Linked DNA regions of Alligator mississippiensis. The protein of the gene in region 3 interacts with the protein of the main gene of each other region in a pairwise test. Links are inferred from orthologs where the notes say so. Each region holds a gene or a part of one and is shown on either strand. Other genes may lie near its edges. The genes, in order: MLX, SOX5, TLE5 and L3MBTL2.

Evidence for each region.
Region 1: the proteins of TLE5 (region 3) and MLX interact in binary tests that used the Homo sapiens proteins (3 or more experiments, as listed by UniProt). The two-hybrid records come from large-scale screens. The link is inferred for Alligator mississippiensis from reciprocal best matches to the Homo sapiens genes TLE5 and MLX.
Region 2: the proteins of TLE5 (region 3) and SOX5 interact in binary tests that used the Homo sapiens proteins (3 or more experiments, as listed by UniProt). The two-hybrid records come from large-scale screens. The link is inferred for Alligator mississippiensis from reciprocal best matches to the Homo sapiens genes TLE5 and SOX5.
Region 4: the proteins of TLE5 (region 3) and L3MBTL2 interact in binary tests that used the Homo sapiens proteins (3 or more experiments, as listed by UniProt). The two-hybrid records come from large-scale screens. The link is inferred for Alligator mississippiensis from reciprocal best matches to the Homo sapiens genes TLE5 and L3MBTL2.

The regions. Positions count from the first base shown.
Region 1 is NC_081827.1:152,003,976-152,011,634, reverse strand, and holds the start of MLX (max-like protein X), read right to left. Parts: upstream 3,117-7,659; 5' UTR 3,070-3,116; coding exon 3,025-3,069; intron 2,373-3,024; coding exon 2,333-2,372; intron 1,533-2,332; coding exon 1,443-1,532; intron 718-1,442; coding exon 611-717; intron 263-610; coding exon 163-262; intron 1-162. UniProt on the Homo sapiens protein: Transcription regulator. Forms a sequence-specific DNA-binding protein complex with MAD1, MAD4, MNT, WBSCR14 and MLXIP which recognizes the core sequence 5'-CACGTG-3'. The TCFL4-MAD1, TCFL4-MAD4, TCFL4-WBSCR14 complexes are transcriptional repressors.
Region 2 is NC_081827.1:124,856,506-124,863,788, reverse strand, and holds the start of SOX5 (transcription factor SOX-5), read right to left. Parts: upstream 3,055-7,283; 5' UTR 2,717-3,054; intron 1-2,716.
Region 3 is NC_081839.1:3,804,716-3,812,005, forward strand, and holds the start of TLE5 (TLE family member 5), read right to left. Parts: upstream 3,268-7,290; 5' UTR 2,976-3,267; coding exon 2,949-2,975; intron 2,286-2,948; coding exon 2,188-2,285; intron 398-2,187; coding exon 334-397; intron 1-333. UniProt on the Homo sapiens protein: Transcriptional corepressor. Acts as a dominant repressor towards other family members. Inhibits NF-kappa-B-regulated gene expression. May be required for the initiation and maintenance of the differentiated state.
Region 4 is NC_081827.1:97,502,368-97,510,474, forward strand, and holds the start of L3MBTL2 (lethal(3)malignant brain tumor-like protein 2), read right to left. Parts: upstream 3,153-8,107; 5' UTR 3,052-3,152; coding exon of another isoform or gene 3,022-3,051; intron 1,538-3,021; 5' UTR 1,513-1,537; coding exon 1,453-1,512; intron 1-1,452. UniProt on the Homo sapiens protein: Putative Polycomb group (PcG) protein. PcG proteins maintain the transcriptionally repressive state of genes, probably via a modification of chromatin, rendering it heritably changed in its expressibility.

The DNA.
Region 1 (7,659 bases), on a different chromosome or scaffold from region 3:
GGGGGACAATAATGCAAGTGGGGACATCCCTTGCCTCACTGCAGTCTAGTTCTGGATGGCTGGTGTCCCACTCAGTGGCTGCAGGAGCATGAATTCCCAGCATAGATGCAAAGTGATGCAGTGGTTAGGTAGGAATGTGCCCCTTTTCTGCCCCCAACTCACTTTTCTGCAAGACAATGGCTTTGCTCAGCTTCTGGGAGCCAAGGGAGAAATCTTGCTGCTGGCATGTAGGCACAATAGCCTGCAAGTCATCGTAGCCTTTCTGTTCAAGAGGAAGAGATGATGTTACAGGCATTTTTAGATTAAACCACATGACAGAAGGGCAGTGGCCAAGTAGGTGGTCTCATAAGGTGCCAAAGTCCCAGCTGTCTCTCCAGTTCCTTCATATGGCATCTAGGATGCAGTTACTCAGGGCTGATAACCTGCCCCCAGTAAGCCAAATGTTTAGGGGCACAGTGACTGTGATAACTAAAAGGATATGGGTGTCCTGATGTGGGAGAAATAAGAATGCTGATACCACAGGATGCCCGCGTTATAGGTATGTAACAAAAGGAAAGGACCAACTGTATTCCCATCCAAGAGAACAGTCTGATAGCTGCTCTGATGTTACCTTGATGGCATCCCTTCTCTTCTGCTCTGCCTGGGTGTGTGCACGCCTGCGCCGGTCTTTGTATGACTCTTTATAGGCTTCTTGGTGATAATCGCTGTCTTCATCATCTGCAACGGAAGAAGAGTCACTGTGTCAAAGAGAACTCAGGCGCTTTTGGAGCCTAGGAAGCAGAGGCAGACATGCAGCTGCACGTGCAGAGGTAATGGGGGAGCATGCTCTTCCTGGAATCATTTTATGCACTCTGGTCCAGACCCAGACACAATTACTGACTGGGTAGACAAGCTGCAAACAGGGCACAAACAAGGCAAAGATGAACCTCCCAGAGCCATTGCAGGCCTGCTGGCAGCTGCCTACACCAGAGCATGGTGTGAGTAGGCAGCTGGGCAACACATTTTTGCCAAAGCCCCTGGCTAATGTAGGCAGGATTCTCATGAGAAGATCTCTTGGGCATTAAAACAGGAAGCTGGAGTCCAAGGTCTTTTTCTTTCAGAGGGCAGGTGCTCAGTACTCTCTTGATGGTATTTCCGTTAGCCAGGCCATTTGTTCACACTAACTCTTCTCCTTGCCCCAAGTCAGGAGTGCCTTATCAAACTGTCTCGTTGGAAACTGCGACACCTTCCTGGTGCTCCCCACCATCCTCCTTTGCTGAATGAAAGACATATATACTCAAGCTGGCAAGGGAAGCTACTGCGATTGCATGTGAGCAGCTTTTGCCAGAGAAGAACACATGTTAGAAATAAGTGAGAAAGAGCACCAAAAGCATCTTAAGTGCTGGACAAGTTGAGGGAGGGACTAACCTACAGACAGGGAGAAGGGACACCATGGCCCTTACCTGTATTGGGGACAGAGGAGGCACTAGTGGAGCCAATGCTGTTCGCTCGTGATACTATGCTTCCCTTTCTACTGCTTTCCACAAAGAGTGCTGGAAGAGAAAATACTGGTCATGCATGAAGCAGTGAGCTGAGCAAGGATCTCAAATCCCAGGGGATGTTCCAAACGGATACAGTGTGGTGCTCAGCTCAGGTGGGTAAAGCACAGGGTAGCCAGCTATAAGAATTAGTATCTGTTTGCTGTTGTAGGTGTTTTGTGGATTTAGCAACAAGTAGACAGCAAAGATTTTTCAGGAGCTGTGAAGGAACCAGCTAAACCCCAATGGGATTCACTGTAATCTTTAACATGGACAAAACACGGAAGCAGGGAAGCTTATTCAGCAGGTAACTGGCCCGTACTCTGCATGCCTCTGATACAAGGGAGATATTAGTTCTGCTTTAAAAAGCTGAGAATATGGCGAGGCATCATCAGATTAGAGACTGCGTGTTTTAAAAATAACTTCCCACCCAGCACCACTCAGCCTGGGTGTGATCACTCAAACTGCAGTGACAGCAGATCTCAAGCTTCCTTCTCCCTACGTTCCAGTTGTTACTTACACGTTTTGGCTTGCACCGCTGTCCCAGAGCTAGACAAAAACATCCATTTATCATTCTTTACAAGTTCAAGTCGTCCCTTTCCCTTAATTTAAACCCTCCTTTAAAGTTTTAATCCATGCACCGCTTATATTTACAAAACCTACATTCCGCACATATTATTCTTTGCGCTAAGTTTCCAGCGTTAAAATGATGCAGGAAACTGGCGTGCCCTGCCTGTTTCATCTATGCTCTTTTGTCTGGCAACAGCAGAGTTGACCCGACAATATTTGAAAGAGGAATGCACAGAGCTACTTACGAGCCTCCAGTCCATTGTCGCTGTACACACAGTCCACCTGCTGTGTTGCCAGATGACAGTGTAAGCAAAAGGGAAGAGAAGAGAAAAAAAGCCAGCCAGTGAGTAAGGCAGTTTCCTCTTTTGCGCAATCAACTATCACGCTACTGTGTGTCAGCAACAGAAGTAGCCCATGGCCTGTCGACTCCCCACAGCCCACTCTGCAGAACAGCTGCTCTCTCAAACAAGGCTGCTGCGCAATTTGCTATGCCCGTGCTGCTGGGCAGCACACTGGGCACGTCCTTGTTTTACTGCAGTTTATTCTGGGAACCTGCAGTACCGTCTTGACAGGGATGCACACTTATGCCCTCGGAGACTAATGGGAGGGGCTGGGCACTGGGCAGTTGTGTCTGCCCCGAGATGACTGGCCGACAATTCCCCCCTGTTATTTGCTTCATATGATTATATGATTATTTGCTGTTTAGGCAGACGGCCGTGCACGACGCTCCCCAGGGCTGGGAGGTGGCTCGCTGTCTCCAGCACCCTCAACCCCCGTGCTGAGGCGGCCCCGCGGCGCCTGCCTGCGGGTCCCCGGGCCCGGCCGCGCCGCCTCGTGGCGGGGGCCCGGAGCGGGGACAGCGGGATCCCGCTCCAGCACCCGAGCTCCCACCCGCTTTTCGTCCCATCCCGGCCACCGTCCAGCCCCCGAGACTCACTTTTCCCCACGGGTCCTCGGCCGCGGCGCCTAGTGGCTCCGCCATCTTCCCGCTGCCTCGTCATATGATTCCCGAGGCGCCAACCAATCACAGCATCCGCTGGCCTCGTGGGGCGGCACTTCCGGGAGCTGCCTCTCCCGGCCGCGGAGGCCGATGGGAGTTGTAGTCTGGCTGCGGGTGACGGGCTCAGCTGAGGGGCCGCTCTGCCCTGCCGCTGCCCCTCAGCTGCTCTCCGGCTCCGCAGCTCCCATCTCCCGCCCCGCAGCTTGCTTTACCTCACCCCAATGAAGCCTTGCATGCATCTTAAACGGAGCCCTCCGGCCCTAGGCCCCTGGCAGAGCCCAGCGCTTCCAGCGTCTCTTTAGCTGCATAAAGCTTGTGCTGTGTTATGTGAGGAGCAGGGATCCTGGTTTCCTCCGATTTAAAAATAATCCCCAACTTTCGGGTAAAAAAAAGGAACCCCAAATTCACATTTTTCCGTGATTTAAATGAAACACCACTGATATAGATAGATAGATAGAGATAGTTTATCTATCTATCTATCTGTTATTTCATTTAAATCACGGAAAAATGTGGATTTGGGGTTCCTTTTTTTAACCGAAAATTGGGGGTTCTTTTTAAATCGGATCCCGGGGGATGAGGCGCTTGGCGGCCCACGCTCCCCTTTGCAAATTTCTAGGCTTGCCCATGCTGTCCTGTCACGTGGCCCCTTCGCGCCTTCCCCTGCTGTCCTGCAGCCTCATCTCCTTCAGCCCGGATTTGCTCGATTACACAGGGAACTCCGTGGGAGCCACCGGCAGCAGACGCATGGCTCTGTGAAACAGGCGTGTGACACCGTGCCAGTGCTGTATGAGGGAGCGATGTCACAGTGCTTAGTTGGCTTGCACCCACACCGCAAGTGTTGGCTCAGGACACCAGACTGCACAGAGCTGTACGGCTGCACTTGCAAGGGCTGCCCCACATGGGCAGGCTCCAGCAGATCAGCCCGCACTAGCCAAGAGCCCCTCTCCCTTGGTCTGGTTTATCTCTTTAGAGCACTGGTGCTCAGTGGCCTATGGGCTGTGGCAGGACAGTAAGGGGTGCTACTATGCTAAGCCACCCACCTCACTGTGCCAGGCCCAAAACCATGCTTTGGGAGTCTCCATGTCTGGCCATCCCCTTTCCTGGAGCACACCCACAAGCCTGGGGTAACGCTGCCACCACCTGGGCACTGGTCTCTGTTAAGGCTCTTTGCAGCCCGGGATACACAGATAAAGACAGCTTTGGGGGTGCTTGGTCCCTTGGTAATATCTCTGGGTGCTCCTTATAGCCTGAAGCTTCCTAGGATAATCTCAGGTAGGACCGTGTTAGTTAATAAAGAGCCAAACTCCCCTCAGCTCAGCCGAGCAAAGAGAACAAAAAGGCTTGTCTCTCCCCTCTTCCCTCAAGAGTACACAGCTAGGTGAGCTGTAACAGATAGCTTTATTGACCACAGATGGAGAGAATGGGGTAGGGGTACAGGACAAAGGAATATTAAAAGAAAATGCCTTGAGTAAAACAGAATCAATTGAGCCTTTCAAATATGGGCTTGTGGCCCTTTTAACATACAGCTGAAAACTTAGTTCTAAATAGCCAAATTCCAGATTTCTACTTACAAATCTTCCAGAGAGTCTGTCTCTCATGGAGGCACATCCTTCTGTGTCTGTGTTCCCAGAATGACTGCCTGTCTTCTTCCCCACATGCCCGCTTCAGGACAAAGGAAGAGCGAGCTTCCCCCTCCCTAGGAATTTTTACAGCCCAGGCACCTAGGTGACTAGGTTGACCAAAACTAGGCAGTTGATCAGGTTGACCAAAACAGGAAAAAACAGAGTGGCCTGGGCTGTCCTAATACAGAGGTGAGACAGACTGAGGAGGATTTCTTCACATGGCAAGATCCAGCTTATAGAGCTGTATCATCTGGCCCATGGGGCTCCCCATGGGTCCAGAAACTTGGCAGCAGAGAAGCAGTGCTAGTGTTAATTGCCATGGCTCTGGCAACTGGAAGAAGAAAGGGGAGCACAGAGAATTTACTGCTATTGCAGCTGGAGGGATGGAAGAAGCAGCAGCCAGGCAGCAGTGGGCCATGGGCTGCCAATTGGACAGCCATGATCTGCTGTGCCATAGATTTCATAGATTTCATAGGCATTAGGGCTGGAAGGGACCTTGGAAGATCATCGAGTTCAGCCCCCTGCCCAAAGGGCAGGAAGTCAGCAGGGGTCACAGGATCCCAGCAAGATAAGCATCCAGTTTCGTCTTGGTGTTCAATGAAGGCGCTTGAACCACCTCCGGTGGCAGGCTGTTCCAGACCTTGGGGGCTCGGACAGCAAAGAAATTCTTCCTTATGTCCAGCCTGAAATGGTCTTGTAGTAGTTTGTGACCATTCGACCTCGTCATCCCTTGGGGCGCTCTGGTGAACAAACGTTCCCCCAGATACTGGTGGTCATCCCTGATAAACTTATAGGTGGCCATCAGATCACCCCTGAGCCTGCGCTTTTCCAGGCTAAAGAGCCCCAGGGCTCTCAGCCTGTCATCGTAGGGTCTGCTTCCCTGACCTCTGCTCATGCGCGTGGCTCTTCTCTGGACTCTCTCAAGCTTCTCCATATCCTTTTTGAATTGTGGAGCCCAAAACTGGACGCAGTACTCCAGCTGCGGCCTCACTAAGGCCGAGTACGAGGAGCGAATGACGTCCTGGGATTTGCTTGAGAAGCATCTATGGATGCAAGCCAGCGTTTTGGTTGCTTTACTAGCCGCAGCATCGCATTGCAGGCTCATGTTCATCTTGTGGTCAATGATGACCCCCAAGTCTCTTTCTTCCATAGTGCTAGCCAACATAGCACTGCCAAGCCTATAAGGATGCTGCGGGTTTTTCTTCCCAAGGTGGAGAACCTTGCATTTATCAGTGTTGAACACCATCAGATTCTCGTCCGCCCACTTGCTGAGCCTGTCCAGGTCAGCCTGGATCACCCGCCTGTCTTCTGGTGTGGATGCTTTGCCCCAAAGTTTGGTGTCATCGGTGAACTTGGCCAGTCCGCTTCTGACTCCAGTGTCCACATCATTAATGAAGATGTTGAACAGTATGGGTCCAAGGACAGAGCCCTGGGGGACCCCACTGGTCACAGGACACCACGATGAGTGACTTCCATCAATTACTACCCTCTGGGTCCGACCCCGGAGCCAATTTTCCAGCCAGTGGATCGTGGAGGACCCAAGACCCATTACAGCACATTTCTCAATCCCTACACATCCAAACCTCGTTTTTTGTCTCTCTCCCTTCATCCTCCCTTGCTCTCTCTCAGGCTCTCTCTTCTTTCCTATCTCATACCTCCTGGATCATCTTTTTTCTCTGCCACTCATCTTGTCTACTCAGTTCTTTTAATTATCTACTATGTTAGATAATCTCTTACTACTGTCCCTACTTTTCTTAGGCTTTTTTTGATTTGTCCTCTCCACTCCCTTCCTCCTATGCCTCTGTCTTGTCTTGCATTTTTGTCAACCTCCTTCTCTTCTATCTGGCATCTTTTATATCCTCATGGCCTAACTTAGCCTTTCTCACTTCGAGCTCAATTAGATAGGTTCAAGATGTGACCTCCAGTCCTTCCCTTGAAAGGAAGAACTGCTGCTTGAACTGAGTGAGTTCACTTTCATTTGATTCAAGTCCATAAAGAGGCCAAGAGAGCTTGGCATGCAGGCAAAACAATAACAATTCTCTGCCCCTCCAAAAATACAGAGTACAGGTGAGATATCTTGGGGATTGGCCTTTTTCATCATTTCCCTGTTGTGGATCCTGTGAAACACCAAGTCTTTTTATTAAACTGGACCAAGTTTTATTCCCTTCTCTTTGGTTTCCCAAGTAGCTGGCCTGCTGCCTTGTCACAGTCAGCGTCTTGTCCATCAATCCTATCTGCTGCTTGGGATGAGTCTAAGCCACTAAACTGAGACCAGGATTTACATTTTCTCAAAGGCATCCAACCCCTGGACCAGCTGATGTCCCATCTTTCTGTTCCAGTGTCTGAGGAAACTCCTACCTGGGCTCCAGTTTTAGTCAGTTTGTCAAAGTTTAGAAAATACAGAGAAAATCATGTTATTTCCATCAGAGGAAGGTGGAAGTATATACCTAGCTTGCTGCCTGGCCAGGAGGGAAACATGAAGATCAAACAAGGAGTCTGCATGGACATCACAGAGAGGGAGATTTACAACAGCTACTGTACACTCTCAAGTCTGGAGAGTAAATGCTGTCCTGCTGTCCGTGAACACAGAGTGCTTTTCAACTGCGCCATGGCAATGGAAGGTTGTCTATGATGTCACAACCACTGGTGATGTCAGTAGTGATAAATCTTATACGCAGTAAGTTAATACTCTTGTTATCCCAAGAGAGTGGGAAGGGTAGAAGAGGTTGCACTTGGAAAGGTTTCTGGAATATTAGGAATGGGCTGAACTGAGGCTAGGCATGCAGGAAGGATTTGGGTAAGGAATAGGTCCTGCTGGGGGCAAATGACTCTGAAAAATAAGCTTCTTCTGAGTAGTATGTAGTGATAAAGGGACTGGGTTAGAGACATTCACCAGTAGGAGGATATGGGAAGAAAGTCCCTTATTTCCACAACCTTCCAATCTCTTTCT
Region 2 (7,283 bases), on a different chromosome or scaffold from region 3:
GAGGTAGAAGTCTCCAACAACTTGCAATATTTCAGTACCGTGAATCTGAATTAACCTTTGGTTCAACCTTGAACCAAACCCTTGTGTAAACCTATATGGATCTGAAAATTACCACATACAACAATCTCTAATGTCTTCGAGAGAGAAAGAAAAAAGTGGAAGGAAATAAAACCAAAATTACAAAAGGAGAGTTTATAGTATATTAAACAAAACCTACACATTGTAAAAGGTCACTCCAACAGCCTGAGGCCCAGTTATATAGTACTTTTGCAGGCATGGCTCCCATTGCCATCAGTGGGAGTATTTCCTGGCCCGTTCAATGAACACCAAATTGTTTGTATGTAGAAGAGAGGAAAACATACTTCACTGCTAATGAGAAAAGAATTCTTATAATAATACTAATCTATTTATAATGGTCAAAGAATATCATGGCTTCCACCAACATCACTGCAGTGTTTTGGCAATATTGTAGCATTCTGCTGTATTTTTTGGAAGGATCACTCATTACTTTCTCTTGAATCTTAGAACATGTTTCACAATGCTGTTTTTCAATTTATCCATAAATCTACATCACAGGATTTTATATAGGTATGAGCACTACGGCAGAGGCAAAGCTCCTCTTACACATACTGCATTAGGATACTGCCAGCACCACCAACCCACACTTATTGGTGCTTTGTTTCTTTCATACTTTCCATACTAGTATTTAAAGTTACTTGTAAACTTATTTCAGGCCTAATTGTAGAACTTTAGGATAACTATCTGGGAAGAACTGTTTCCCAATCCTGAACATTAAGAAATTATCAATATGAGCTAAATCTCTGGCAGCTTAACAATGCTGATCAGCCTAAACGAGCGGGGCAAGTCATACAAAATACGAAGATGCAGTAATATAGGATAATATATAGGATAATATATATATATATATATATAGGATAATATAGGATAATATAGGATAATATGCTGGTTAGGCACCAGCATATTATCCTAAATGTATGCATCTCAGACATATGCCTTACCATTTCAGTGTTTACTAGTAAACATCTAAAGAATTACTGAGTGATTCTTGCCTGCTACTACAAGATCATGACAGCAGAACAAGTATGGCCTAGGAAAACTTCTGTAAACAGAAGCATAACATTATATAGGGAATATGTATATGCTTATATTTGCTTTCCAAAGGCATGTATTAGCTTCCAACATTTATAAAAACTTATGCTAGACTAAACTGAATGCATCTGCACATACATGTAGTTGAATGGAGTTAATTTGAAATAGCCAATCCATCTCAAATGTCAGTTTGTTTACAAGAGATGTTTGTGGCTTTCAAGTTCTGTGTCGCACACAGTGTAGCGCTCAACCAAGTGAGTTTAAATGCAACAACAAAAAATCTCTGATATAAGATTTCCATGCATAATAGCCAGGTTTTCATTGTCAAATTATGTAGTAATATACATGCTATCCATTGAACAAAATGATGCCAGCCTTTCCCTTTTATGAGCACAGAAGAACTTTACAAAACAAACATTGTGGCTGTAACCTTGCTGGATCTCAAAACACAAAACTTTACCCCTTCAATCCTAGTTCCATATTTGTAAACAGCACAGTTTACAGGAAGAAGGATCTACCTTTGAGGCAATGATATTTTCTACCACTGGGAAGGATTAAGGAGCTACAGAAATCATGACAGATACAGTATCCTTCATCAAGCAAGTTTCTGGGGCTACAATACTTGGCTATCACTTGCTGTACAAAGCCCAAGAAATGCCCCTGGCTCAGAAGAATCTGATTTTTAAACCTCAGCTGCTGACTTTAGCTAAGTAGTGGGCTGCGAGCCGAGTTTAACACAGGAGGAAGAACCAGGCCGCTGTGTTCTGTTGCTCTGCACCTGGAATAAGGTGTCTTCCCTGGATGTGAATAAAGCAAAAAACTGAACATATTCCTTGAAAGCAAGGGGGAGGCATCCTTCTAAAAATCCATCCCCAAATTTTCAAAAGCGTCTAAGGCTAACATTTGGTTTGCCTAACATCAGAAACAACCTAGGACCTCCAATCTGCTTGGCATCTAGCTCCTCAGTGGTTGCCCCCCCCCCCCGCTTGCCTAAAATCCTGCTCAAGCCCCTTTCTTCTTTTCTGCTGATGGATGTGCTGACCGCCTGCATGCCTCCCACATGCCTCAGTTGCCTTGGGCTGCTGGTGGGGGTTAAACCAAAAAAGCAAAGCATAGCACAGCCAGGCTGAGGGCCCTTATTTCTAAGTACTAAGGAAGCAGGTCCCTCGTAGGGGAGGATTCCCACACTTCTTACCCGCGGGTGACTATTGGCGCTCTCCCCGGGGGCTGCTCATCACCTCCCCCTCTAGAGTCAAGTCCCTTAACTTTCCGGCCATCAGTGCCTGGACCAGGCAGAGTCGGGCTGGGGGAGGGCTCCGCGCACTGATTGGTAGAGGGGCTGGTTTCTTCCCCCCCCCCTTCCCTTCTCTTCCCTTCCGCACCTCTTGTCTCCGGGGCCCGCAGCCCAGCCCAACCCAGCCCAGCCCAGCTCGGGGACCGGCTCTGCTCCTCGCCCTGCAGCGCGCCGCTGGGACGGATCCGAGGGGGGGATCGGGGCCGGGGGAAAAGGCGGGACAAGTTGCTCCAAACTTTGCCAGCCCCCCGCAGCCGCCCGGGGCCCCCGGCCCTGCCCCCGAAGTTGGCCCGGAGCCGGCCGCGCACCTACCCGCCGTGCGGAGCGTGTCCTGGCCCGAGAGGGAGGCGGGAGGATGCTCGGGGCTGGGCAGAGGGGGCGCGGGCTGCCGCTCGGCCCCTTCTCCCGCTCTGCGTGCGCGCCTGTGCCTCAAGGACGAGGTGAAATCCCTGCGCTGGTCATGAGGCGGCTTCAGAGACAAACACCACAATGCGAGTGCAAATAACAAAAGGCAAAAAAAACCCCACAGAAAGAGAGGGAGAGACAGTGGGAACAATGGGGGAGGAGAAGCTTTTCTGTGCAGTCTCCAGCCACCTCCGACACCCTGGGAGCGGGGAGCTCGCACTTCAGCTCCCTTCTGATCTCTCCTAAACAAACCCTGACCTCCTTCCCGGAGCCCCCCTCGCGCCGCCCCGCCTCGCCCGCCCCGCTGCGAGCCGGCTCTGCCCATTGCGGGCGGCCGCGCTGGGCCGGGCGGACAAGCCAGTGCCGGGCTGCGGCTCTACCCCCCGCGCGCCCCGCAACTTCGCGCCGCACCGCACCGCACTGCGCGCCACGGGCGGCCGAGTCCCGGGACGGCCCGGCCCCCGCCTTTCCTCGCTGCGAGCAAACAGCCGGGAGTTGGGGGGTGCTGTTGCTGCGGGGTGTTGGTGGTGTGTGTATGTTGTTGATGCGGGGGGGAGTGCTGGGGGTGGTGGGGTGTGTGCTGGTGGACCGTGTGTGTTGTTGCTGGGGGTGGAGGGGGTGTGTGTGTTGCATGTGTACGTGCTGGTGTGAGTGCTGGTGCATGTGTTGGGGGTGTGTGCTGGGGTGTGTGTGTGTTGGTTGTTGCTGGGGGTGCTGGTGGTGTGTGCGCGTATTGGCCGTGGTTCTAGTAGTGTTCGGGGGGGGGGGGGTGTCCACAGGAGCCCCTGGCCAGGCGAGCCCCTGTCAGCGCGCTGGAAAGGCGCACGGCGCGAGGAGTGACCCCCAGGACAGGAGAGCACGGCCGCCTCCTGCTTCTGGGGAGCCTTCAGCTTCCCTTCTTAATCTTCCTTATCCCTGGGCTGGAGACTTTCCTGATCCCGACTTCTCCCCCCCCCCCCTTATTTTTTGGAAGCTGCTAGTAAGTGAAGTAGTCTGAGCTTCTTTTATTGTTCTTTCGCCTCCCCACTCTCACAAGCAGGGGAGAAACCAGTGCAATAGGCGCCGGCGGGAAAGGGGGGAGGGGGGGGAATGAATCGGAGCTGAAACAGCCACGCACTCTTTAAGAAGGTGGCGGTTTTAAAAGCATCTGAGAGTCACCGTGGGGCTCATCCACGCTAATAGGTTTGCTCCAGGGAGAGAAAGAGCCCATCGGCTTCCCTCGGCACACAGAGAAGTCCTGCCCAAAAGTTACATCAGCAGGCGGGAGCCCTTCGGCAATGCAGGGTGATGAAAGTGTGCCCAGACTTGGAGCACAGCGCAACCCACGAGCAGGTCCCAGCAATCTCCTCTACGCTGACTTTCATGTACTGGAAACAGCAGCGGATTTGTTTTTCTTCCACCCAGAGCAGGCTAAAACACACACACTCCACCCAAACAAAGGGAACAATCTTTACCTGTCACCTCTCCCCCCAAACTCTCTCTCTCTCTCTCTCACACGCACACACCCCCAAGCAAAAGGGACAATCTTTACGTGCCATCTCTCCCCCCAAACGCACACTCTCTCCCTCCGTCTCACACACACCCTCCACGCAAGCAAAGGGGACAATCTCTACCTGTCACCTTACTTCCCAAACTCTCTCACAAACGCGCACGCAAAGGGGGACAATCTCAACCTGTCACCTATGCCCCCAAAGTCTCTCTCATCCCGCCCTCCCGAGGAAAGGAGAGAATCTCCTCCTGTCACTTCTCCCCCAAAACACTCTCTCTCTCTCTCTCACACACACACACACACCCCTGTGCCTGTCCGCTCTCCAGGGGCCCGGCCGGGCGCCTGTGCGGTGACGGTGGCGGGCCGGGGGGGTGGGGCACCCTCTGATCCCTAGCTCTCCTAGTCTCTCCCCCCCTGTGAATGCCCTCCCCCCACCCCCTTCTTTCTGTCATCTTTCTTCAGAAGCGCCTCAGTTGAGCGCAGCCATGTCTCCAGGCACCCCCAGCCTTTCCCAGAGTGCAACACCACGACCCCGAGATCAATGACCACATACTGTTTACTCTTAATCCCAGCAGGACTACAATTGAGGCTGGCGGCTGGCTCGGCGGCGGGGCGTGCGCTTGCTGCGCGTGTGGATGATTTCCCCCGCTCCGCTCTCCCTTTCGGGCTGGGCTAAGCCCCACTTCGCAGACAAGCCGACTTCTGGCCGCCCGCGCACGCCACTCCCGATGCATTCACGGGGCGGGGGGGAGACAGAGAGAGACATCTTCAGATCTACACCCTGGAGCTGCGGGAGGGGAAAAGAGGCGATCCGCGTCCTTTTTTATTACTCAAGTAGGTCGGCTCTGTGCAAGCAGAGCTGGGGGGTTGTGGCTTGCTCTTGTGTTTACTTGCAAGGGGCTTTTGTTTTTAATTGATTAGTGAGCACGTGCTTTTATAAACTGCCTGAGCAGGCCAGCTTCGAGTGTCACTTGATTTGTGACAGCCAGTGGGAAATGCAGAACTCCCCCCCGCCCCCAGCCAAATCGTTCAAAGAAGAGTAACTTCGGTTATTATTAATCTCGGCTACAGAAGGCTTATCTCCTACCAATATTTGATACCGGGACGAGTCCAGTAATTTCCCTGCTTTCTCAGGGACTTAACAAGTCAGCCTTTACAATTCATGAGCATCGCAATCATTTTTTTCTGCTTGGATGCCTGATTGTATATGATCTCTTTCTGTGTGCGCATCCCTAAATGATTTTTACTCTTTGATGCAAAAGGACAGAAAGCATTAGCAGCATGGATAATACCCATAAATGAGACTTCAAACTCTCGGGGGTGGGGAAACAGAAGGGAAAAAAACAACAAAACAGCCAGAGACAGAGCTTTCTCACTCTTTTTACTTGCATTCTCCATACCTGTAAGGTAGGAAGTCCCAGTAGGAAGTGTGCACAGGTGGGGGAAGGACATGGACAGAAGACCTGATTCACCATTGTCCTGCTTTTGCTGCAACAATTTACACCATTACAAAGTAGGAGTATAATGGTACCCATTACTAAATGGTTGTATTTTAGTCCCACTGTGCAATTCTATAAAATAACTACATACAGCATAGGGCAGTGCCGGACTGAACCTAGACACACAATGCTGCTCAACTCCCTTTTCTGTAATCAAAGCCATAAATGATGGGCCTTAGGTCAGGCCTCTTCCGGTTACTCTGACTGAATGTTCTTTAGACTGCTCAGCCCTTTCAGCCGCCTTTTAGCCTCACATGATGGAACCTATTTTCCCTATAAGCACCTCAGCTCCTTGCTTGGTGATGACACTGGGTGGGCCCATTCAACGGAGCAGCATTTGAATGCAAGAAAGGAAATTCAGTGATTATTGTCAGGGGCAGGATTTAAAGAAAAAGCCAAAGAAGGGTCTCAATGCATTTTATTTAGAATCCAAAAAACAACAGGTGTAAAGATTGCATTACGCTCTCTAGGATGTGTTTTTTTCCACTTCTGCAGTAGTATGAAGACGTTCAGTGGAAAAAATTGAGTTACAAAAAGCCCCATTGGCCTGATGCCAGCTGCATTTGATCCTATCTTTATTAATGTGGTAATTTTGTCTCACAGGCCTCCATGCCTCTAGTTTTACAAACTAGTGATGTCATCATGAACACCAACTGCCTCATCTTTTTTTGTGTAGGAAGTCTCATTTTACTTTTTTGTTAAAACAAGTTACCATTTTTTTGCTGGGTGCTTTCAAATGTTTAGTCAGTCAAATTATTTTCAGTAGAACCTAAAAGATGTGTCCTGATTTCCATCTCCTCCCAAATGTTTATAAGTGTACATAACATTAGCAGATACACTGGAGTACTAGGTAGCATAGATACAGCTGGGAGAGAGGATAACATTCCTCCCCCAGACAACAAGATAAGTGTCAAATATGATTTTCATTGTGCCTTACCTACTGAAGGGTAGAAAACAGCAGACCAAAAATTATACCATTTGTTCCAAGTGCTGTTTTTGCAAAACTTGGATGGACTTTAGTTTTCAAAACCCAAAGAAGAATTGGTTTTAATAAGGTTTCAGTTTTATCTGAGCTGCCAAACACCAGGGTATTTGGATAAAAGATTTCAAACAATCACTACCATAAGCTTTTTTTTATTATTATTTTTTGGTTTGGTGAAGTTGGTTAGAAATGTACATCCAATTTCATTCAAACTCTCAGTACTTCGAGGGTGGCGGGAAAACAATTTGGGTAAATCCCCATGCCTGCACGGCATCCAGTGATTTCAGCAGTCATAGTTCATGTCACATTGCAGAATTGGGGCCCATGAGCCAAGCTTGCATGCTAGGCTATGCAAACAAATTAACTATCAGATTCCTTTTTGTTTTATCCCTCTAAAAACACAAGACTTTTCTACTGGCACGGATCTAGTACTGTCATTTACACGGCTAAAAAGTAGGTATTAATGTGATTCTGATATAGTAATGTTTTCTATACACCTTAGAC
Region 3 (7,290 bases):
CTCTCTGCTGGGCCAGTCAGCACTGGATCCCCTATCCAGAGAGTCCTGATCCTGCCAAGAGACACAGTGCAGATCTCACTCCCTAACCAGCAACACAGCATGGGGAAGAGGGAGAAGAAATGACCTCTGTTTGCAACCTGCGAAGTTGGAAAGCCCCGTTTCAAACAAACCCGACACAGGTCTTGCTTCCGCTGGGCGCAGGGGAGGGGGTGGGAAGGGAAGGACACCTGTCATCAGATGTACCCAAGCGCCAGCATCCTGCTTCGCCAGCCTGCCCCACATCCCATCGCACGGGGCCCGCCGTTGCCCCCCGCCACCGGGGCAGGGCCTTACCATGACGTAGTGACGCTGCATCTCCGATTTCTCGCTGGCCAGCTTATCGCATTCCAGCTTCAAGCTGAAAGAGCAGAGAGAGACGGGAGCACCGAGAGCCAGGCCTGCTACCAACTCCCCTCGTCGCCAGCCGTTTCCTGCGGGCTCGTACAGCACCTAGCACGACGGCTTGACCCCTAGATACTATTGCAAGACTAAACAATTTGGGGCTTTTTTGTACAGCACCTAGCCCCGCGGTCCATAACCGATGCTCCTAGATAGAAGAATTAAGACGATGCTAATGACACCAGACCACCCAGCCACGAGGTCTTCCAAAAAGCTACCCAAGAGCCAATCTTCCATCTTCTGGAACAGAAAAGGCAGGAAGGAGGAAGAGTTTGACCTCTTGTCTATGAGAAAGGCTTGGGTCTGATCCCACAGCTGGGACCCAAGTAGAGTCAGGGGTCACAGGGCCATGACACGGGTCCAACTGCAACATTTGAGAAATGCTTGTGCTATTAATAAGTCAGACACGTAATGAGGACTACGGCACAGCTGCAAGGCCACCTCTCCCAACAGGTTTTGTGGTGCTCTGTGGGAAAGCAACAGGAACTCAAACATCCTTAAAAAAAAGAGAACAGAAGATACTACTTTTCTCTATTTAAATGTAATAAACCCGGTGATTTTTGGCAGTCGGGAGCTCAGCCATCATGTGCTGGGGGGGGGTTGGATTTCCAGCGAGAACCAGCTTTGCTCGCACACAGCCCGTTTCTCTTCCAGCGGATTAAACCCAGCAAATGTCTCCTGCTGAAAGACGGTGACTGCGGATATGTTGCTAGCGCTCCCGGGCCCCGCAGCTGGCACGGCTTCAGAGCAGAGGCACGCTGGAAAGTCGGCCTTCCCGATGAGCGACCTCGGGCCGCCACACACCTCAGCCGCTGGGCCCTGCGGGCAGGATCCCGCGCTCCTGGCATCCAGCAGGAAGCAGGCCGAGACACGGAGGACCCGGGGAACGTCGGCGACGGATGGGCAGCTATGGGAGGTCGTATCGGAGGGCATGAAATAAGCCAGGCCTAATAATTAAGGGTACTCTCGCCTGGCAAATTGAAGCCCGGCGTTTTAGATTTCAATACCCCAAAAAAAGACGCAGATAGTGATGGCTCTGGAAGGGTTTGGAGAGGAGCATTTCCTCCCAGCGTCTGCAGCCAAAACACTGCAGCCCTGAGAAAGGCATGTGAAACTAAGCAGAGATTCACAAGGGGCTGGTCTAATCTCCCCGTCCTGGCCCAGCGAAGGGGAGATTTAATGCTTTCATCTCCAGTTAGCTACAGGGTCACCTGGGATATCTTTTAACTTGGGCTCATTGCTTCTCATTCCAGCTGGGGAATCTCTTGAGCCCTGGCAATCCCTGCTCTCAGGCCCTCAAATGCAAGCTGGGGTGGGGCAGCGCATGTTGCCCACTCTCTTGCTCAGGGATTACCTGTGCGTGCAGAACCGTCCCCACCGATGGGATCAATACCCCGGAGACCGCAGGCAGAGCCAAGCGGGGAGACATTGCAGGGATCCTGCTTTTATTCCTGCCGAGTCTGTCCAACAGTTTCTCTACCTGACACTCTTTGCATGGCAACACCTCCGAGGGGGGCACCCCGAGCCCTGCTCTGACGCTAAAGCTAGCGAAAGACAGGCCGCCGGCTCCCGAACCCAAGCCCCTTCCTCCGGCATCTGAGAGCACCAGTCATGGCAAGAAGAGAGGGGGGCCCTCCCCGAGGCAACATGCAGCCAGCTCCCCGGGGTAGGGGGGGGCTAGGCCTGGCAGACCCTGTCGCGAACACCACCCGACCGCAGTGCCCGCCAGGCCGGCCTCGGCTGCCGTACCTGTGATACTGCGCCTGCAGGAGCTGGAACTCATCCTTGATCCGGTCGCAGGAGTCGGACGTCGTGAACTTCAGCTGCTGTGGCAGGTGAGAAGAGCCCTTGAACGACAAGGAGAAAGCGCTGGGTGGGGGGGCAGAGCCTCGCAGCCTGGATCCCTGCGCCCTCGCCTGCCCCGGGTGCAGGTGGGGGTTTGCAAGCGGGTGCCCCCCCACCCCCAGCTGCCGAACGGCCCCTTCGGCAGCACCCGAGGGGGCTCCGGCTGCGAGACGTGCTGGCATCGACCCCCCCGGCTGCAGGTGGGGAGCGAGGGGACACAGTCAAGGTCAGCGGCGGCCTCCCCAGACCGCCGCACCCCCCACGACGGGTGGGGAAACTGAGGCACCGGGCCGCGCTGTGCCGGCGCCGCCTGCACCCGTTCCCCAGGCCCGGCCCTGGCCTCCCAGCCCGGAAATACAGCGTTTCCCCCAGCGAGGAACGCCAGGCAGAGCCGGGGCGAGGAGGAGGAGGAAGAGGGGGGCTAGGGCAACACCGCTCCTGCCCGGCCGGGGAGGGGGCGCGGGGAGCGGGGCAGCCGGGGTGCAACCCCCCCCCCCCCCCAACCCGCGCCCGGCCCCGCCGCGATCCCGGGCCCGGCCAGGCTTTGCAGCGGGGCCGGCCGGCCGGCCTGCTCCACGCACCCCCCTCCCCGCCCCATGCACCCCCCCTCCAACCCGCATGCACCCCGCAATCCGTGCACCCCCCCGATCCGTGCCCCCCGGTACCGAGTGGCGGCTTTGTGGAAACATCATGTCAGGCTGCGGCCGCGATCCGGGTCCCCGCGCGGCTCCGTGGGCCGGGACCAGGCAGCTGCAGCCGGCTCCGCCGCGCCTTTGTCCCGCCCCGCTCCGCTCCGCAGCGGCGCACCCGGCCGCTTCCCCCGGCGCAGCCGCGGCCCCGCGCTCGGCCCCGGCCCCGGCCCTGCTCCCGCTGCCGCTCCCGCTCCCGGCCGCTCCTATTGTCTAATGGCGGCTGCGGGCTCCTGTCCTGCGGCTGATCAGCACCGCCTGCCGGGCCCGGCCCTGGCCCTGCTCGGCTCGGCTCGGCCCTGGGGCCTCCTCCGGGCCAGCGCCTGGCGCGGGGGATGCGCCTGCCCCACGGCCGCCCCGCACCGCGCCGCCGTCCTAGGCAGTCTCCTAGATCCTAACGAGACTCCTTGATCCTAAAGACACTCCTGGATCCTAGGGAGGCTCGTCCATCCTAAAGAGACTCCTCCATGCCAAGGAGACTCCTCCGTCCTGGGGAGTCTCCTAGATCCTAAGGAGTTTCCTCGATCCTAAGGAGACTCCTCAATCCTAAAGAGACACCTTGATCCTAAAGAGACTTCTCAATCCTAGGGAGATTCCCAGATCCTAAAGAGGCTCCTAGGGAGACTCCTCAGTCCTAAGAAGTCTTGTAGATCCTAACAAGACTCCTGGATCCTAAAGACGCTCCTGGATCCTAGGGAGATTCCTCGATCCTAAAGAGACTCCTAGGTCCTAAGGAGATTCCTCAATCCTACCGAGTCTCCTAGATCCTAAAGAGACTTCTGGATCCTAGGGAGACTCCTTGATCCTACAGACACTCCTAGGTCCTAAAGAGACTTCTGGATCCTACGGAGACTCCTTGATCCTACAGACACTCCTAGGTCCTAAAGAGACTTCTGGATCCTAGGGAGACTCCTCCATCCTAAAGAAACTCCTCCGTCCTAGCGAGATTCCTCCATGCCAAGGAGACTCTTCCGTCCAAGGGAGTCTCCTCAATCCTAAAGAGACTCCTCAATCCTAGAGAGATTCCTCGAGGGTAGGGAGGGTCAGGGATCAGCCCTCTCCAAACCACCCCAGACAAGCCCGTCAGCAGCCCTGACATGACACGGGCCACAGGGCAGGCAGGGGGACCGCACGGCCCCCTCCTCTGTGCACACTGCAAGGGGTAGAGCAGCCCCCTATTTACTGGGTACCGTCGGGCATCTCTTGCCCCCATCGCTGGAGCTTGCCCTCGAGGGCCTCCTTGCCCGTGTGTGGCCCGCCGGTATCTGGCCCGCGTGGGGGCCCTGCTAGCTGGCAGCAGTGCCATGTGGTCCTGCCGTGCGGCTTGGCCTAGAGCGGGGAAGACAAGATCGGGGGAGCTATGAGGGCACCTTGTCTCTGGGTGAAAGGCTAGAGCAGGGATCGGACGTGGGTCCGAGGGCTTGGATCCTGGCCGCTTCCCATGGGCCATAATAGGAGATGAAGAGTGGTGGCAGGGCTGTCACCTTCTGTAGCCTGGACCCAGAGGAGGCGACTGGGGCAGGGAGTAAAGACTGGTCTTGTCCAACAAGGGGTGTCGCTTCTGCAGCACGTGGTGCTGGGTGGAAAGGGAGTCTTTGGCTTAAACTCTACCCGCTGCTAGCTGGGTCCCCGCGGCAGCTCAGAGCCATCCTCCCCCATTAGGCAGTGTTGCCAGGCTGGCTTTCTCATGCCGTCCGCCGCAGGAGCAGCACGTGCCGTTTGGGCGGGGGTTTCACTTCCCCTGACTTTGACTCAAGGACGCTGTTCTGTGTCCGAGAAGGCCGGGGAAGCAGCGGGCCTGGGGAAGGCAGCAAAAGGTCACGTGGCGCCTGGTGAAGCTCAATGCGTGGTCTCAGATCGGTGCCCAAAAACAGTCCAGTGACGGTGCCCTTGGCGCGGAGAATCCTGGTATCTCGGAGGGGCAGGAGTCCTCAATCCTTCAAGCTGAACCCAGGAGGGATTGGGAGTAGGGAGCCGTAGCACTTCCCAACCATCCAGAGCTACGACCGACCGGCCTGAGGGTGAAGCACCCTGCGCTTGTATGTGACTGGAGAGGGCTCGAGGGCAGCGCCTAGCGCCATCGCCCCATGTCGCCAAGCTGCGGGATGCCTACCAGGCTGCGATCCAGGCCAGGAAGTCAACTGGGAAATGCACCTTATTTCTTTCCAAGACATCCGGTGGCAGATGAGACTGCTGATCCTGATGTTGGGTATTAAAGCAATTGGCATATACTAATGAGAGGCCAGATCCTTGTGATATATGGAATAGAGGCATGGGCAGAAGTGAGGGCTGGGTTAGGGTTTGCAAAAGGCTGACTGTTTGCAGGGCTGGAGGTGGGGAAACAACCGAAGGATGCCCAGTTAAAAATGCAGACAGACAGGCAGAAGGAATCAAAACTCATGGTAGATGTGATAAAACCAACTAGATTTTTGCAAAAATAAAAATATTTGCAACCTGAGTACCTACAGACAGACAGGCAGGGCCAGGCGGCGGCAAAGCTTGCAGGACATGCAGCATCATAAAAAATGAGGGTGAGAAGGGAGCTCAGGAGGTCACATCTAGCCTAACCCCCTGCTCCAAGCAGGACCAGCCCCAACTACATCATCCCAGTCAAGGCTTTGTCTAGCTGGGTCTTAAAAACCTCCAAGGATGGAGAGTCCACAGCCAGACACCATCATCTTTTGACCCCCCCACATGCCTCTGTGAGTGTTGCAGTGTCACCCGCACAATAACAACTGGGCGTTGTGCTTGGCACGAGCAGGAGAGACTCCCTGAATCCGTGGGCAGACGGGGCCGAGACGCACGTCTTCCATGAGGCCTTTGGCTCAGGTTGCTGGCCGGAGATGAACAGAACGGGAATGTCAGGGTCAAGCTGAATGCAGCGTAATCGCTGACGGCGGATTCAGAGAGACGAATGACCGCCCCGTGGTAACAGAGAAATTACCAAGGCTTGTTTCACGTAACAGAACCCATCCGGAGCCCACGTGGGGAAGGTACGCAGCTGTACCAGGGCAAGGACACAGCCATTCACTCAGGTTGGAAACAGTGGAATGAAAGCCAACACCCACGCTTGCCTTGAAGATTCGTCGACAAAGGCAGTGGCTTGCATGGAAACGTTCCCTGGATGAAGGCAGAGCTTCACGGCCGAGCCTTTGACTGGAGATCAAGGGGTTCCAGCTCACTTCGAAGCTGAGTCCCCACCTACCTTCCTGACCAGTCCCCACCACCTATTTACTGCCCTGGAAGCAAGAGGGGTTCTCCGACAGTTTGGAGGGTGTTGGACCGGCTCCTGCATCTACCTGAATCCTCCAGAGAATTCGTGTTCTAGGCAGAGCCCTGGTACCGCTGGGAAATGAAGGAGAAACTAAACCTGGCCTGGCATTAAAAATAGATGTTGAGTGCAGTAGATGATACAGGGTAAAAGTACAGTTGGGTATTTTGAGTGCCGAATTCTGTCCCCACCATTGAATGGAAGTTGTGAGTGGCCTTGAAATACAGCACAGCAAGAAACCACGGCACCCCAGGTAGCTCGGGATGTGTTACACAGGTGAGAGATGGGCACAGGATGAGCGCTGGCTGCTGCTTTTGCTAACACTTGGTCTCTGCCCCTCTGCCGGGACCAGGCCAAGGCCCTAGATTCAAACTGTGCCAGGACCTTAGGTCCAAGCTACACCAAGACCCTAGATCCAAACTGCACCAAGATCCTAGGTCCAAGCTATGCCAAGACCCTAGATTCAAACTGCGCCAGGACCTTAGGTCCAAGCTGCACCAAGACCCTAGATCCAAACTGCGCCAAGACCCTAGATTCAAACTGCGCCAGGACCTTAGGTCCAAACTGCACCAAGACCCTAGGACCAAACTGTGCCAAGACCCTAGGTCCAAGCTACGCCAAGATCCTAGATCGAAACTGTGCCAAGATCCTAGATCCAAACTACACCGGGAAATTCCAATCCAGAGGCATACTGTGGTTCCACCTTTGCAAGGGGAGTTGTGCCACCGATTTCCTAGCATGTCCTCAGGCATGCAGAACTAAGCATGTGCCTTCACGTCAGCAGGATCAGGTTCTTTGCGTCCCTCCTGTGACTCAGGGACGCAGGCCAAGAATAACAAGCACAATACAAAGAGTGTGTGCATGGGTGTGTGTGTGGAGGGGGGGAAGAGCTCTTACCCATTTCAGACGCTTGATGCATTGTCTCAGAAAACCAGTGCCTTTTCTGATTCCAGCAAAGCTCCCAGGGCTGCAGTGAAGGGACCAGGCCGTTGCCATATTTATTTCTAAAGAGCACAATCTAGAGGGCTGAGGTCTTGTGGCACCGAC
Region 4 (8,107 bases), on a different chromosome or scaffold from region 3:
CCTCAGCCATGCCAGCAGAGCTGATGGGAATGTGGGACGGGGGCAGCTTGCTGCGGAGCCATGATTTGTAGCCTGCACGCTCTGTGCAGAGGCACACATCCAGGGGATCGTGGCTCTGCCCCAGCTCCTTGCAGCAGGCTACAGATCGCAGCTCCGCAGCAAGCTGCCCCCATCCCACGTTCCTGGCAGCAATGGAGCAGCCCCCTGTGCTGTCTGCCGCATACGCTGCTGGCGTGAGAGGTCTCCATAAAGACCGGTACAAGCCATCTGGGCAGGGGCAGCTGGGAAATGGAGTCCCTGGCTGATTGGATCCAGCCCACAGGCCGGACGTTCCCCATCCCTGCCTTATGCAGTAAAGCCTGGCCCTCAGGAGCAAGTCACTGGCTGTGGCAATCACAGGATACCAGGACCAGACCCTTGAGCCAGCACTAGCTTCCCTGGTAGGAAGAATTCCCACCAGCTCCACATTTCCTTAATGTTTTACCCCTCATACACATCTCTCCCAGACGAAAAGAAGATTCATAGTCACAGAAGGGCAACCACAGGAAAGACACTGGAAGCAGAGAGCAGGAGGCAGACCAATGGCTTATAGCTGCAGCAAAGTAGGTTTAGATTAAATATCAGGAAGAATTACTTCATTGTTAAAGCACTGAGGCAGTAAAATAGACTATCTAGGGAATTGTGGGATCTCCATCATTGGAGGTTTTCAAGAGTTTGGATAAGCATGAATCAGGAACAATCTAGAAATAGCTATGCCTATGCTCGTTATGGTTATTTCCCATGTTTCTGGGCTTCACTGGTTACTGCATGAAGCCAGGAAGGAATTTATTTCCCCACTTCTGTTGCTACTGCACCTGTTCAGGGAATTTTCTTTTTGCCTTCCTCACAAGCATAAGGAAGTGGCTGCAGCCAAGGCTTGGGATTTTGACTTGGGTGTACCAATGCTCCTACTGGGACTAATAAATAGTTGGAGGTTCCTCACTAGAGGGTCTTGCCCCTCCACACCAGGCCAGACCAATGATCACATTTGGGATCAGGAAGGAATTTTATCCCATGGCCTGACTGGCATGGGCTGGGGGAGTTCTGGCCTTCCTCTGTAGCAGGCGCGTGGCCCTCTTCCTAGGATCTCTTGAGCATGTTAACAACCCTTGCAACAGGACACTGGACCACCCTTGTTCCCCTGCGCTACCTGTGGCAGGTTAAGGTGCTGTGCATTGTGGTTGTGCAACAGGGTTGTGTACTTCTAGTAACAGGTTAGACAAGGATTTGTACCAGATGGTTTGGATAGGGCAGGGGGTTGGACTAGAAGACCTTCAGAGGTCCCATCCAGCCTTACTTTTCTATGATTCTGTGACCCAGGAGCAAGAAGCCAGAATGCCTGAAACCATCCTGAGTGGGGAGGGGTCAGTATGAATTCATAGGGAAGGAGAGAGACCACCCCTTTTCACTCACTTTCCTGTCCAGTGGTTGGTCTTCTTCACACCCACTAGAAAACATTTTTTGTGCTGTCATCAGGGTGGCCCAGCAGGGAGAGGAGCTGTCAGCACAAATGATCTATTTCAGTAACTAGCTGCTGCTCTCCATGCTATTTAACCCTCCCCAATACAGCTTGGGACACAGTGGATCAAAAAATGGCCTTGAAGCAAGGAGGTGCATTTTCTAACAAAGTAAAAGCTGTACACTCTATTACCATCACATTCCCTGGGCTGACTTTGGCTCAGGAGCTGCACTGGAAAACCAGACAACTTTCATTTTCAAGTATTAAATAAGTATCAGTCAAAGTCCTTTTCCCCCTGTGATTTCATCATGATCTATTTGTACAGCTATATCCATACAGCAAAGAGATGCAAGAGTACAGGGACAGCAAATCAGGGGATGCACAAAAGGCCTGTCTTTAAGATGGAGGGGAGAAGGAAGAGTGATTAGCTGTGCTTTGGACACAGATTAAGGAAGTTAGGAGATATGCTGTTGCCAAGAGCTCATGCACAGACACTGAGGCTCAGCAATGAGAGGGGCAAGGGAGAGAAGAGCAGAAGCACAGACATGCAGTCACAGGGAGAAAGGAGCTCACAGCAGCAGCAGCCAGCAAGGAAACATCACCACCAGTCAGCACTGCCAGCAGCCCTACTGCTCTGCACCCACGAGATCTCTCTCCTGTGCGGTGCTTGCAGTGGCATGAGATTTTCTTTAGCGCTGGTCATTGAGCCCGGGCATCTTTCTGCCGCCCAGAGGAGCAAGAGCAGAACAGCCACAGAACACAGGGCCTGCTGTGTGTTCAGATGAAAGCTGGATAGAAACCAGCTATGGAGCTGTCAAGCACTACCCTGGGAGCAGGTTGGCTCTTTCACATCAGGAGACTGGAGCTCTGCCTGCCTATCTGGCCCCAGGCATGGCACCAGAAGCTTTTCAGAGGTCCTGGACTTCAATCTCTTACCTAGCTGCCTAAGTTTAGGTCCCAGGACCTCCCTGCTACCCTTATCCACATGTTGGTGCCCACATGGACCCAAGAGACTGGGCAAAGATACAGTATGCAGGACCCTGGGCAAGATGTCTGACCCAGTAAGTGGCTGGTCTTATAGGATGGCCATTTTGATGGCATAAGTGTTACTTTGCACCACATTTATTGTGCAGTTTGCCCATCATCTGTGTCACACATGTAAAGGGGAGCAGGGGCCCCGTGCACGGATCCATCTCCTAGTGCCAGTTGTTTGCACCCAAGGCTCGTCCTGCGCAGCCCCAGGAGAGGGCTCCTGCCCCCCGCAGCCAGGACCTCCCAGACGCGGGGGAAGCCCAGGGCTCCCAAGGGCCTCGCTGGGCCTGTCGGGGAAGAACCCCGGGGGGGCGGGTTCCGCCGTGGCATTGTGACGCAGGGCTCCACGCTCCGCCCCCCCACGGGACCGTGGAATCTCCGCGGCAGCGATTGTGACGCAGGGCTCCACGCCCCGCCCCCCGGGGAGTCCCGCGCTCCTTCCAAGGGGGCCCGAGCCCATCCCCAGCCCCGGCCCCGTGGCCGCCCCTTACTTCGCCCTGCTCCTGCTCCGTGGCCGCCATCGCCGGGATCCTGCGCCCCGAGCGCTCCCCACCCTGCCAGGCCCGGCCCGCTGCACTCACATGGCGGGACCTCGGGCCCCCTTAGCTTTACTGTCCCCAATACATCGGGGCAGCTGGTTGGCCGCCGGCCCCCGCGCGCCCGCCAATCGCCAGGCAGATTGCTTTGCAAACGCCGACAGCGGAAGGAACGCTCAGTCTGGCCGCACAACATCCTGGGACTCGTAGTTTGCTTCCCTGCGCGGCGTGGGGGAGAGCGTCAAGGCTGCCCCGTGCCGCAGGCTGCTAGCTTCCGGGCTCTGGCCCCGCCCCCTCCAGCTCTTGCGGGGCCTGCGCGGTCGGCCACTGCTCCAGGCTGCAAGGTGCGGGCTTGAGCTGTGAGGCGGGGTGCGAGCACGGGGCGGCGCTAGGGAGCGCAGCACCTCCAGCCCTTAGAAGCCTGCAGACCATGAAGCCCCCCTCCCCTCCCTTCCCCTCACATGGGATGAGGGCCCTGGCGCCCCGGAGCAGTGGTTCTCAGCCGGCTTTGTACCAGGACCCACTTGTAAACATGCATGGCCAGGCCCGACCCAGCGCCCCTCACTCTGGACCCGCTGCCCCCCCACTGTGTAGGGTGGCTGGGGAGGGGGGCAAGTAGCCCCTTGCTGGCTGGATCTCTGCCAGCCTGCAAGGGAAAAAAATCCATGGTGTCCCATGTTTTTTTCTCCTTTGAAGGAGACTCCGTTTTTAAAGTCTGTTTGCAACCCTTTCTTGCAACCCGCTTTTGGGTTGTGACTGGTGGGTTGAGAAATGAGCCAAGCCCAGTCCTGCAGCCGTGGTGGTGTTCAGCAAAGCTGGAGAGACGAAGGGCCTGAGGCAAAGCCACCAGTGTGAGAGGCCCCGTGGGGCAGCTTACCTGTTTTCTCTTCTGTGCCCCCCCCCAAAAAAAACACCCTTTTCTTTTCTTTAAGAGGTTAGTGCTGCACAGGCCAGCACTATGGCTAGGAGTAGGAGGCAGCAGCAGCTAACTGCAGCCTGCAGGAAGACATCAAGTTAACTCCTTGAGCAGAGAGTCATCTTTAGTCTCAAGTCAGGCCAAAGGCAGAGCAGAGGTGTACTTTATATGCAAAGATGCAAGGCCTACCCCTTTTCTACTCAGAGCTTTCATGAAATCAAGCTCACTCCATCAGATACTATGACAGGACAGAAGAAAGCTATGTAGGAAGGAATGAGTGATTTGAATTCAAGAAGGGTATGCCTTATATCCCAACTAAGATGCAGCTATTTTAGACGCACACACACACAGATGTACACACATACAGAAGAAGGGACCTCCAGAGATCATTTAGGCCAACCCCTTGCCTGAGGCAGGATCATCTGTATCCAACTATCCCATACGATCCAAAATCTAAACTCCATATACACAAGACTACTGTCAGTCCTGACCCAACACCCTAACCAGCCCCAGGTAAAGCAGGGGAACCACAGCAGCGAACATCCCATTTTCATGAAATATCTATATATGCTTAAGGGCTCCTAGGTAGAGGGCCAGAGCCATGTCCCCTTCTTCAGCGATCCATCGCAGTCAAGGACAGCTGTCTTCCATTAATATCTCATCTGTGGGTCTGAAGATGGCCAATGCAGGATCAACAGACTGTCACAACTCAGGCATGTGTTTCTGCATGGGGTAGGTGGCTCCAGATTCTTGATTGTCTGTGATGCACTGTTTCTGCGACTCCCACTTTTCCATCTCCTGTTGTCATAAGGTTTCAAAGTATTGAGATTCTTGCAGCAAACTCTTCCTCCATTTGGGGAGGTCCTAGGCAATAGTTTCCCCATGAGCTGCTGCTAATGTTGCATTTTTTCCAAGTTGGCCTTGAGGACATCCTTCAAGCACTTTCTCTGCCCTCCTTTTGAGCATATGCCTTGACTGAGCTCAGAGAATAAAACTTGCTTTGGGAATTAAGTGTCAGACATCCAAATTATGTGGCTGGCCCAACAAAGTTTGTGTCAGATGATCATCACTTCAGTACTCATAGTATTTGCTTGCGAGAGGATGCCAGAAAATGTTGGTGCGGTCCATCTTCCCACTGGATTTGAAGGATCTTCTGCAGGCAGCATTGATTATATTTCTCCAATGACTTGAGGAGTCTCCTCTACATTGTCCACACAAGTCTCAGCTCTGTACAAAAAAGGTGGGGATCATAACTGATTGATAAACCATGAGCTTGGTTTTGGATCTGATGACACAGTCTTTGCACGCCTGTTTCCTTAAGTGCATCCAAAGGCTGCATTTGCACATTTGAGGTGATGTTGGATTTCTTTCATGTCAACCTCCTGTGACAAGAAATACAGGAGGTTGACATGAAAATGCTTCTGGGGTACAGGAAATACTCAACATTCTCAAGAGTTTCACCATGAATCTGAATTACTATTAAGAGCTTGTTGTTGGACGACCTTAGTCTTTTGAATGCTAAGCTTCAGTCCCACTTTCTTGTATGCCTCTGTAATGATGTTGACAATTGCCTGAAGGTCTGCTTCCGAGAGAGCGCAGACTATAGCATCAGCAGCATGCTGCAGCTTGAGGATTAAGCTCGATTGGTCTTGGTTTTGGCTCAGAGTTGTCTGGGATTAAAAACAGTTTACCATCCATTTGGTAGTTTAGCTCTACTCTGGCTGGAAGCTTGGTGGTAGTCAGATGTAGCATCATGACAAGGAATAAATCAAGAACAGTGTTGGAGTGATGATGCAGCCTTGCTTAACTCCCATCTTAACCTCAAGCAGTGATAGATCCGTTACTGAAAACCACTCATGTAGCGGGCAAAGAAGGGTGATGAATTTCAGTGGGATCTCAGAAGGATCCTCCATAGCACTTCTTGGTTGACAGAGCTGAAGGCTTTTGTGAGGTCAAAGAAGGCCATGTAGATAGGTTTATGTTGTTCCCAGCATTTTTCCTGCAGCTGGTGAGCTGTGAAGATCATATCAGTTGTGCTTTTTAATGCCCTAAATCCACACTGAGATTCCAGGAGGAGCTCTTCATCAAGTGGAAGGAAACAGTTCAGGAGGGTTCTTGCAATAAGCTTTCCTGTGGTGGATAGCAAGGTGATCCCTCTGTAGTTTCCATAGTCAGACCTGTCACCTTTCTTGTCATGATCATGGTAGTCCTAAGGTCACCTGGCACTTCATCTTAAAGATTTGGAATGGTGAGGAAGGCATGGAGCTGTGACGTGAGCGCCTCTCTGCCCCTGTCCCCCAACCCCTGCTTGAAGATTTCAGCAGGGATTCTATCAACTCCAGTGGCCTGCTTGATGAATTTCCTCACCTCATCAAGGGTTGGAGGGATTCCAAGATACTCTTTGACTGGGTGTTGTGGGATGGAGTGGAGAACACCTCTCATCAACAACAGTGTCTTAATTGAGGAGGTCTTCAAAATGCTCCTTCCAATGGGCACTGATGGCTCCCCATTCCTTGATCAGGTCTCTTCCAATCTTAGGTCTCAAAGGGTTTGGTCCTTGAGTGCTCAGACTGTAGATAGCTTTGGGTCACATTAAAAATAACCACGTATCTTGTGGATACCAGCAAGATGTTAAATCTCCTTTGCCTGGTGTTCCCACCATCTGTTCTTTGTATTGTAGGTACTCCTTTGGACCTCTGCCTTGCCTTGCTAGAGATTCAATTTATTTTGCTTGGAGGTTTTTTTCCGCCCCATAGATTTCATAGACATTAGGGCTGGAAGGGACCTCGGAAGATCAATCGAGTCCAGCCCCCTGCCCAGGGGCAGGAAGTCAGCTGAGGTCATAGGATCCCAGCAAGATAAGAATCCAAATTTCTCTTGAAGGTGTTCAATGTAAGTGTTTGAACCACTTCCGATGGCAGGCTAGTCCAGACCTTGGGGGCTCAGACAGTAAAGAAATTCTTCCTTATGTCCAGCCTGAAACGGTCTTGCAGTAGTTTATAACCGTTTGACCTCGTCATCCCTTGGGGCGCTCTGGTGAACAAACTTTCCCCCAGATACTGGTGGTCACCCCTGATAAACTTATAGGTGGCCATCAGATTACCCCCGAGCCTCCACTTTTCCAGGCTAAAGAGCCCCATACCTCTCAGCCTGTCATCGTAAGGTCTGTTTTCCTGACCTCTCATCATGCACGTGGCTTTCCTATGCACTCTCTCAAGCTTCTTCACATCCTGTTTGAATTGTGGAGCCCAAAACTGGACACAGTACTCCAGCTGCGGCCTCACCAAGGCTGAATATAAGGGGAGAATGACATCCCAGGATTTGCTTGAGAAGCATCTATGGATACAAGCCAGCGTTTTGGTCGCTTTACTAGCCGCAGCATCACATTGAAGCCTTATGTTCATCTTGTGGTCAATCATGACCCCCAAGTCTCACTGCCGAGCCTATAAGGATGCTGCAGGTTTTTCCTCCCAAGGTGAAGAACCTTGCATTTTTTCAATGTTAAACACCATCAGGTTCTCGTCCACCCATTTGCTGAGCCTGTCCAGGTCAGCCTGGATCGCCCTCCTGTCTTCAGGTGTGGATACTTTGCCCCAAAGTTTGGCATCATCGGCAAACTTGGCCAGTCCGCTTCTGACTCCAATGTCCACATCATTAAATGAAGATGTTGAACAATATGGGTCCAAGGACAGAGCCTTGGGGGATCCCCACTGGTCACAGGGCATCATGACGATTGACTTCCGTCAACCACCACCCTCTGGGTCTGACCACGGAGCCAATTTCCCAGCCAGCAGATTGTGGTGGACCCAAGGCCACAATTGGCCAGTTTCACCAAGAGGTGATCATGGGATGCCAGATCAAAGGCTTTTTTGAAGTCAAGATATAGGACAGCAATCTCTTCTCCCTTGTCCAAGTGATAGGTCACCTGGTTGTAGAAGGAAATGAGATTGGTCAAGCAAGACCTATCCACAACAAACCCATGCTGGCTATCCCTCAGGATGTTGGTGTTGGCCAGTCCATTAAGGACGGCCTCTTTAATAAACTTTTCTAAGACCTTCCCTGGAATAGAGGTCAAGCTGATGGGCCTGTAGTTAGCCAGATCCACTTTCCTCCCTTTCTTGAAGA